Ovis aries: one gene and its partner. The protein of the gene in region 2 interacts with the protein of the main gene of each other region in a pairwise test. Links are inferred from orthologs where the notes say so. Each region holds a gene or a part of one and is shown on either strand. Other genes may lie near its edges.

Region 1 (3,745 bases), on a different chromosome or scaffold from region 2:
GCTATTTTCCCATGTACCTACCCCACTATAGTATTTTTCTTTTTTAGTTTCTCCATTTTTCATGAGTTTAGAGATTTACACAACCACGGCTGCTGAACAGCGTGAGAGAGCGGCCACAACGTCCCTCCTGCTCCTTGCTGCAGGGGCAGGCCCTTTCGAGTTACCTGGCTTGAGCGTGGTTACCATCTGGGGGTAAACATAGAGTTTCTAGGAGGTTTTTGACAAGACACTGACCCTAATGCCCCCAGTACCACCGTGCAGGTCCTGCAGGCTTCCCAGCCTCCTAGGCCCTTCCCGAGGTCCCTTCAGAACTCAGGGGACTCAGTCTGCCCCCTGGGTTTTCCCTGCACAAGCTTTTGCCCCCTCTGGACCTGGGTTTCCCAAATGGAAAACGAAGGTGTTGGTATGGAGGCCCCCTGGGCTCCCCTCGGCTGTGCCTCTGTGTGGTGATGACAGCTGCCCCTGGGGGGGGCAGGACTGGGGCAGCTGCAGACACCCTCCCAAGGCTGCTACCCCGAGTGGTGTGGGGCGCTGTAGGCACTGCTCTGCCTGGCGTGCCTCTTGGAAACCAGCGCCTGCTGTTTGCCCAGGGAAACCGCCCGGGGGCCAAGCACCCCTGCTGTCAGAAGAGCTGCTGGCTGTGAGTAGATGCCAGTCTAGCCCTGAACCCTGCCCAGGCCTCCTGAGGTCTGAACATTGTAAAGTCAGGCCCCGGACGGCAACTGCCTCTCCCTCCTGCCGTCTGGTCTCCATAAACTGCATCTCAGGACAAATCTTCTCACTCACCAAGACTGCAGTTGTCTTTCTCAGTCTGAGATGTGCTGCAGGGCAAGTTGCAGAAGCTGTCTAGCCTAAGCATCTCATCAGATGCCCGAGACAAGTGCCATGGACACCAGGCTGGAGCCAGAGCTCCTCACGCTCTGCCCACCTGACACCGGGCTCCACCCAGTAAACACAAGCTTGATTTTCAAAAGTACCACCGACTCAGAGCCAGTGCTAAACCAAGCGCTTTTCCTTCCTGCCCGTTAGATCCGGTGAAGGTTTCTTTAGTTAACCTGCCAGTCACCACATGCCGCATCCGTGCCCACAGGCTGGCGAAGACCCTTCTGAGCTGCGGCACGTGGCAGGCAGTGGCGCCTCTCTCCAGTACGGCCAGCTGTCAAGAGGAGCGTTTCTGTGATAATGTGAAAGTACGTTGCATCCGGCCCCGTGTTTCATAAAAACCGGTGAGGAAAGGAAACACAGAAAGTTCTGATGCTACTGACAACATGGGTCTCCTAACTCAATACAAGTCAGACAAGCCACAGGGAGTCACAGGGACTCCCGAAAGCCTCACTGAGTGTGACCATCATGAGGCTTAATTCATTCACAGCGTATTCCATCATGAAGAGGGAAAAAAAATGGTAAAAAAGAACAAAAGAGTGAAATGCGTAAAACTGAAAACTGCTGCCAGGAGAAGCAAGCGTCGGCGGCGTTTGTGACTGCTGTAACTCCCCAAGACCCGCACTCGCCTCTCTACAAAAGGGAGGCACTGCTGCTCGGCGCTTGCACACCTGAACTGCGGATCCGTAATTTTAAAATGTGTGTGTGGACACACACGCACACGCCGGAGACTGCCAAAGGCTGAGGGACACTGGAAGAACTTCGTATACTTGGTGCACACTGCTAACCCAGCCGGCTCACAGTGCTGCAAGGTCACTGTTTAGGTAAGGATGAAGGGGTTCCGCGCTCGTTCCCTCGCACTAACTCAGAGTTAGTCCAAGATAGCCGAAGTGCCAGGTGCCTCCCATTTGCTGATGGATCTAGCTCAGGGCTGGCTGGGCCCTAGCCATCCAAAATCAAGCATCGTTCTCCCAACCTGTCTTCTCACTGATAATGGAAGATCAGAACGCCCACCCGCCCAACTCCAAGTCAAAGAGCACCAAGCGGGTGAGCCCCCGACTAAGCTCGGTGTTTCGAATCAGCGGTTTCAGGATTCCAGCTGGGGCAACGAGGGAGAGGAGGGAGCGTGCGAGGGGTCCAACTCCTCGCCCCGTGTGCAGCAAGGGATAACCCAACACCCCGTTTCTGTACGTCCGGCTGGAGTTGTGGAACTCAGCGCGGACCCGGGGCCACCGCGACCCCCGCGGCCAGGGACACGCGTGAGCGTTCCCAGACTGCGGAGCGCGGGGCGGGGCCTGCTCGACCACGCCCCGATAGACCACGCTCTCGACCCGATCCGCCCACCGCGTCCCTGCGGGACACGGGTGGGCGTGCCCAGACGGCGGGGGCGGGGCTGCTCAGCCACGCCCCAACAGGCCACGCCCCGATGCGCCAGGCCGCGCACGCGCACGCAGGCCCTCCGCGATGAATGGAGACGCGCGTTCCCGGCGCGCAGACCCGCCCCGAGGCTCCCGCGGGAACCGGGCCGACCGGGAGGCCCGGAGGGCAAGGATCGGCTACCTCAGAGCCGATCATGTAGAACTCGCCGTCGTCTTCCAGCTGGAACTTGACGGGCTTCTGCCCGAAGGTCTTGCTCAGCGCCATCATCATCATTGCGGCGGCAGACGCGGGCGGCCACGGCCGGGCTGCGAGGATCGGGAGGGCCGAGGCGGGGCCGGGGGCGCTCCTAGCCCGGGGAAGCCGACGCGGGAGGTGAAGGGCGGGCCGGGCCGGGGGCGCTCGCGCCGCCGCTGGGCTTCTCTGCCGCCGCCGCCGCAGAAGACGAGCAGGCCGCCCTCAGTGCGCAGGCGCGGGCGTTGACGCTGACGCGCGCGTCGCCGCCGCCGTCGCCGCCCTGACAAAAGGGCCGAGCGCGCCCCCGCGGGCCGCTTAAAGGAGCCTCGGCCCGTTTCTCGGCCTTCCCGGCCGCCTCCCAAGTGGAGGTACCAGGGAAGGCCGCTCACGGGCAGAAATAGCAGCCGCCGCCCTGACTCGAGCGGCGCCCTTCCCCGTCTCACAGCCGGGGCTGGCGTGCTGCCCTGGTGAGGAGGCACGAGGCGAGGCCCGGAAGGCCGGGAGGAAGCCAGAGGCTCCCTTGCCTCAGTTTCCCCGCCCAGAGGACGCTGTGCGGCTGAGCACATGGGCGGCCCAGGGACCAGTATCCCAGCTCCGGGCCAGCCCCCCGGCCCCCGTTCCTGTGGCTCTGGGGATGGGGCGGGCATGGGCTGAGACTACCGGGCTTGCAGGATTCCTAGGCCCAGCCGGCGTCTGTTTTGCCCGCTGAGAGCTGGGGAGGAGCGAACGTCCCCGTCCTCTCCTTAACTCTGTGCCCTGTGCCTCCCCCTGCCCTGGGGCGCTGGCAGCCCAGCGGGCCGACACACAGGGAGGCACCCGTGTATCCGGTGGAGCACGGCAGTAGGTCAGAAACGGCCCACTGCTGATGGCTGCCCATGTCAGCACCTGATACCTGGCAGCTATGAGAGGCGCCGCTATGAGCATCCACGTAGGGGGGTGTGTGTGTGTGTAGCGTCTGTGTGTGTAGGGTGCGTGTGTGTGTGTGTATAGGGGCGTGTGTGTGTGTAGGGGCGTGTGTGTGTGTAGGGTGTGTGTGTGTGTGTGTTTGTGTGTGTGTGACTTGCTCCGTCATGTCTTTTTGCACCCTATGGGCTGTAGCCATGGGATTCCCCAAGCAAGAATACTAGAGCGGATTGTCATTCCCTTCTCCAGGGGGTCTTCCCCACCCAGAGACTGAACCTAGGTCTCCTGCATTGCCTGGTGGCTCAGACAGTAAAGAGTCTGCCTGCTCTGCAGGAGACCTGGGTTG
Region 2 (3,745 bases):
GGCGCGCGCTAGTCTTCACGCAGGCGAACTGCCCACGAGAAAGCTGAGGCCCAGCTCGAAGTTGTGTTAAACTTCGACAAACTGTGCGCGCAGGCCCGGGGAGGCTGGAGTCAATCTCGTCTAACGGTTTCCCTGTACCGCTAGGAGCCTTCGGCGGGACAGCCGGGTGCAGTGACTCAGTGCCAGTGACTCAGCGACCCCACCCTTCTCCCCCAGGCTTTCCTCGGCCGCCGCCTCGAAGCGCGCACCGTCCAAAGGGGACCCAGTCCGTTAGGTCCCTGAACAGGAATTCCCAAGACAAGAGGACGAAGAGAGACGGGGTCCGCATCAGATCCTCTTTCGAAGCGGGCTGTGCACACACTCCTGCGCGGGGCCCAAGCCCTGCGTCCAGAGCTGTGCGCGCCCCCACCTCGCGCTCTAATCTCAGGCCCTCTTTGTTTCTTTCTCCACGCCTCCAGTTCTGCGGGATCCTGCACTCCCCCTCCTCCTGCTTCTTGGCCCGCGGGGCTCCGCATCCTCTCTCTCCCAGTAAAGCGCAACCCAGCTGCGGCGCGCCCCTCCCACCCGCGCGCCTCCTCCTACAGCTCTTTGGCGCGGAGCCCGGGACCCCTCTGGTCCAGTCCTGGCGGGTTCCCCCTGCACCACTGCGCGACCCCTCCTTTATCAGCACCCAGAGGTGAGCAGAGCTCGGGCCACCATCAGGAAAGCCCCTGAAAGTCCCAGCCCAGCTAAGAAGTAACGGGGCTGTGCTCAGTCCCCGTTGGGGAAGATGGGGGAGGAGGACGGCTCCGGGGCGCCCCCGCCCCAACCCCCCGCCCAGCCTTCCCCATTGGCTGGCGCACTCCGTCGCCGGGATGGCAGTGGGAGGGAACCCTCTTACCTAACGCGGTTATAAAAACTGCGCCCCGCGCGGGGTCCGGTCCTCTGCCACTCTCGCTCCGGGCTCCCCGCGCCAGAGACGCAGCACCGCTCCCTCTGCCCACACCCACCGCGCCCTCGCGCTCGCCTCTTCTCCCGGAGCCAGTCCGTGCTACCGCAGTCGCCCAGTCCACCGCCACCCTCTGCAGCCATGTCCACCAGGTCCGTGTCCTCGTCCTCCTACCGCAGGATGTTCGGCGGCCCAGGCACCGCGAGCCGGCCGAGCTCCACCCGGAGCTACGTGACCACGTCCACCCGCACCTACAGCCTGGGCAGTGCGCTGCGCCCCTCCACCAGCCGCACCCTCTACACCTCGTCCCCGGGTGGCGTGTACGCCACGCGCTCCTCGGCTGTGCGCCTGCGGAGCGGCGTGCCCGGCGTGCGGCTGCTGCAGGACTCGGTGGACTTCTCGTTGGCCGACGCCATCAACACCGAGTTCAAGAACACCCGCACCAACGAGAAGGTGGAGCTGCAGGAGCTCAATGACCGCTTCGCCAACTACATCGACAAGGTGCGCTTCCTGGAGCAGCAGAACAAGATCCTGCTGGCTGAGCTCGAGCAGCTCAAGGGACAGGGCAAGTCGCGCCTGGGGGACCTCTACGAGGAGGAGATGCGAGAGCTGCGCCGGCAGGTGGACCAGCTCACCAACGACAAGGCCCGCGTCGAGGTGGAGCGCGACAACCTGGCCGAAGACATCATGAGGCTCCGGGAGAAGTAAGGCGGCGCCCACGCGGGGCTGAGGGAGGGATGAAGTGGATACCGGAGCTGCCACGCCCTTGGGGATGTGGCCCGGGCGGCGGCTGCCGGGGGTGGGGGTGGGGGACAGCGGGGGAGCAGGGTTGTGGCTTAAGCGGTGCGGGCCCCGCCCTGAACCAGAATCTTCCAAGTTAGCATTTTCCCTCTACCCCGACTCATTGCCCAAGAACGCACGTTTCAAGTTGCAGACTTTTAAAAACTACCACTGTGTACTCTGCTGCTGCTGCTGCTGCTAAGGCCCTAGAAAAGGATGAACGCGATTTCCCCAAACTTTGAGAAAGTTTCCTGTCCCCCTCTGGCTGGCTGCCAGCCAACGGGCCGTGGAGAGAGCGAGACAAAGGGATTGTAGAGTCTCCGCGGTGAGGTGGTGGCGGGCGTCTCGCAGGTCGGGGTGGCGACAGTGATTGCTTTTCCACGCAGAGGCCAAGGTCCCGCTTAAACTTGCCTAGGACAGCAGGTCTAAGCCGCGGTCGCTAATTGAGCGCGGAGGTGGCGCAGCAACCCTTGGGTCTCTGCGCCACGACTGGGTGTTTGGGTGTGGTCGCCCCGCCCCTGGCGGTTTCCCGGTTCCCCTGTGGTTAATCTGAAACTGTTTCAGGTTGCAGGAGGAGATGCTTCAGAGAGAGGAAGCCGAGAGCACTCTGCAGTCTTTCAGACAGGTTGGTAGATTCCGTTCCTACTCGAAGCCACGGGACGCCACCCTCCCGCCCAACCCACGAGCAATTCTAAAAGTTTCTTAACCCAAGTCTGAATCATACAAAACTTCACGTCTGCGCGCCAAGCCCCCTAGTGGCAGAGAGACCGCAGTTCTGGATAAAAGCCCTTGAATGATTAAACCGTTCCGTAGGACATGGTCTTTAACATTTTTTAATTTGTTTCAAGATTCTTTTCCCAAGAAATCATTTTTTTTTCCGTTTCGTGTTTGCAACACGTTGATATTTTGATTTTGAAGAGTTACAGTTTGATTTAGGTTGCGGTTTTGCCAAAGTTGACTACCTTTTACAAGGCCACAAAAAGCACAATTCTGCCCTGTAGTTTTAGATGTGAAATGGATGGGAGGATAAGAAACTTAGTGGAGCCAGAAATTTTATTTTCTTGCCGGCAAGTTCTATTGTGGCCCCAAGGTTAGACAGAAGTATCGCTATGCACAACTAATTTGTGATCTAATAAGGATGAAAAGGAGCCATCTGTCCCCTTGGCTGAAAGGTATTAATGGTTTCTACGGACTTCACTATGGAATGTAGATACAGACATTCTGGCAAGTGTGGTGGCTCTGGTCAGAAAGAATAGGAGTCTTTGTGTTCCTGGAGACGCTTTGCAACAGGCTACATTCTTATTGAATATGTAATGATGCAAGCACTGTTCTAATTGGACACAAGTATTTGCTAACACCCCCGTTATCTAATATCTGGCCCAGACTGGAAGTATGTGATGTGAAAAGTTCTTAAAGCTGCAGTCCTACCTCACATTTGGAAAGGCCTTCCTTTTTTGAATCCTTGTATTCTTTAGCATTTTCTCCATAAAGAATAAAGCTAAAAATGAAGGATAGGATTTTAAGAAAAATGGTTTTCTTGCTCCAAAGATAGATGGCCTTTAAGGATTTTTAACTTAAAGTTGGATCCCAAAGAAGATTAGTTGCCAGCAGTTTTATTCTCCTGAACCCTCACTGGGACTGGCTCTAAAAGCTCCCTCAAGCAAATAGTCTAGAATACTTTTTGAAGCAGAAATGTATTTATCAAGTTAAACACAGAAATGTGTGGTTTATTTCAGTCATTGAGCATTTCTGATCATCATGTCTGTAATGTTTTCTTCCCCGGTAGTAACTTCATATAAAATAATATTAGTATAAATTGTTCCTCCTATTTAGGGATTAGATAAAACCACTCATATTCTCTTCAAAGAAGTATAATAACACATAGAACTTTTGAAAATTGAGAATAGGATATTATCTTTTGCAATGATTAACAACAAGCAAAAATGATTCTTTTTCCCAAGACTGATCATTTTATTATCACCCCTTTCTCATTTACTTTTCCATGAAGGTGATAGAAACAGGTCTACATTTTAAGAC

What was found.
Region 1: the proteins of VIM (region 2) and SMARCB1 interact in binary tests that used the Homo sapiens proteins (3 or more experiments, as listed by UniProt). The link is inferred for Ovis aries from reciprocal best matches to the Homo sapiens genes VIM and SMARCB1.

The regions. Positions count from the first base shown.
Region 1 is NC_056070.1:71,287,747-71,291,491, reverse strand, and holds the start of SMARCB1 (SWI/SNF-related matrix-associated actin-dependent regulator of chromatin subfamily B member 1), read right to left. Parts: upstream 2,724-3,745; 5' UTR 2,536-2,723; coding exon 2,443-2,535; intron 1-2,442.
Region 2 is NC_056066.1:31,055,204-31,058,948, forward strand, and holds the start of VIM (vimentin), read left to right. Parts: upstream 1-922; 5' UTR 923-1,069; coding exon 1,070-1,632; intron 1,633-2,272; coding exon 2,273-2,333; intron 2,334-3,745. UniProt on the Homo sapiens protein: Vimentins are class-III intermediate filaments found in various non-epithelial cells, especially mesenchymal cells. Vimentin is attached to the nucleus, endoplasmic reticulum, and mitochondria, either laterally or terminally.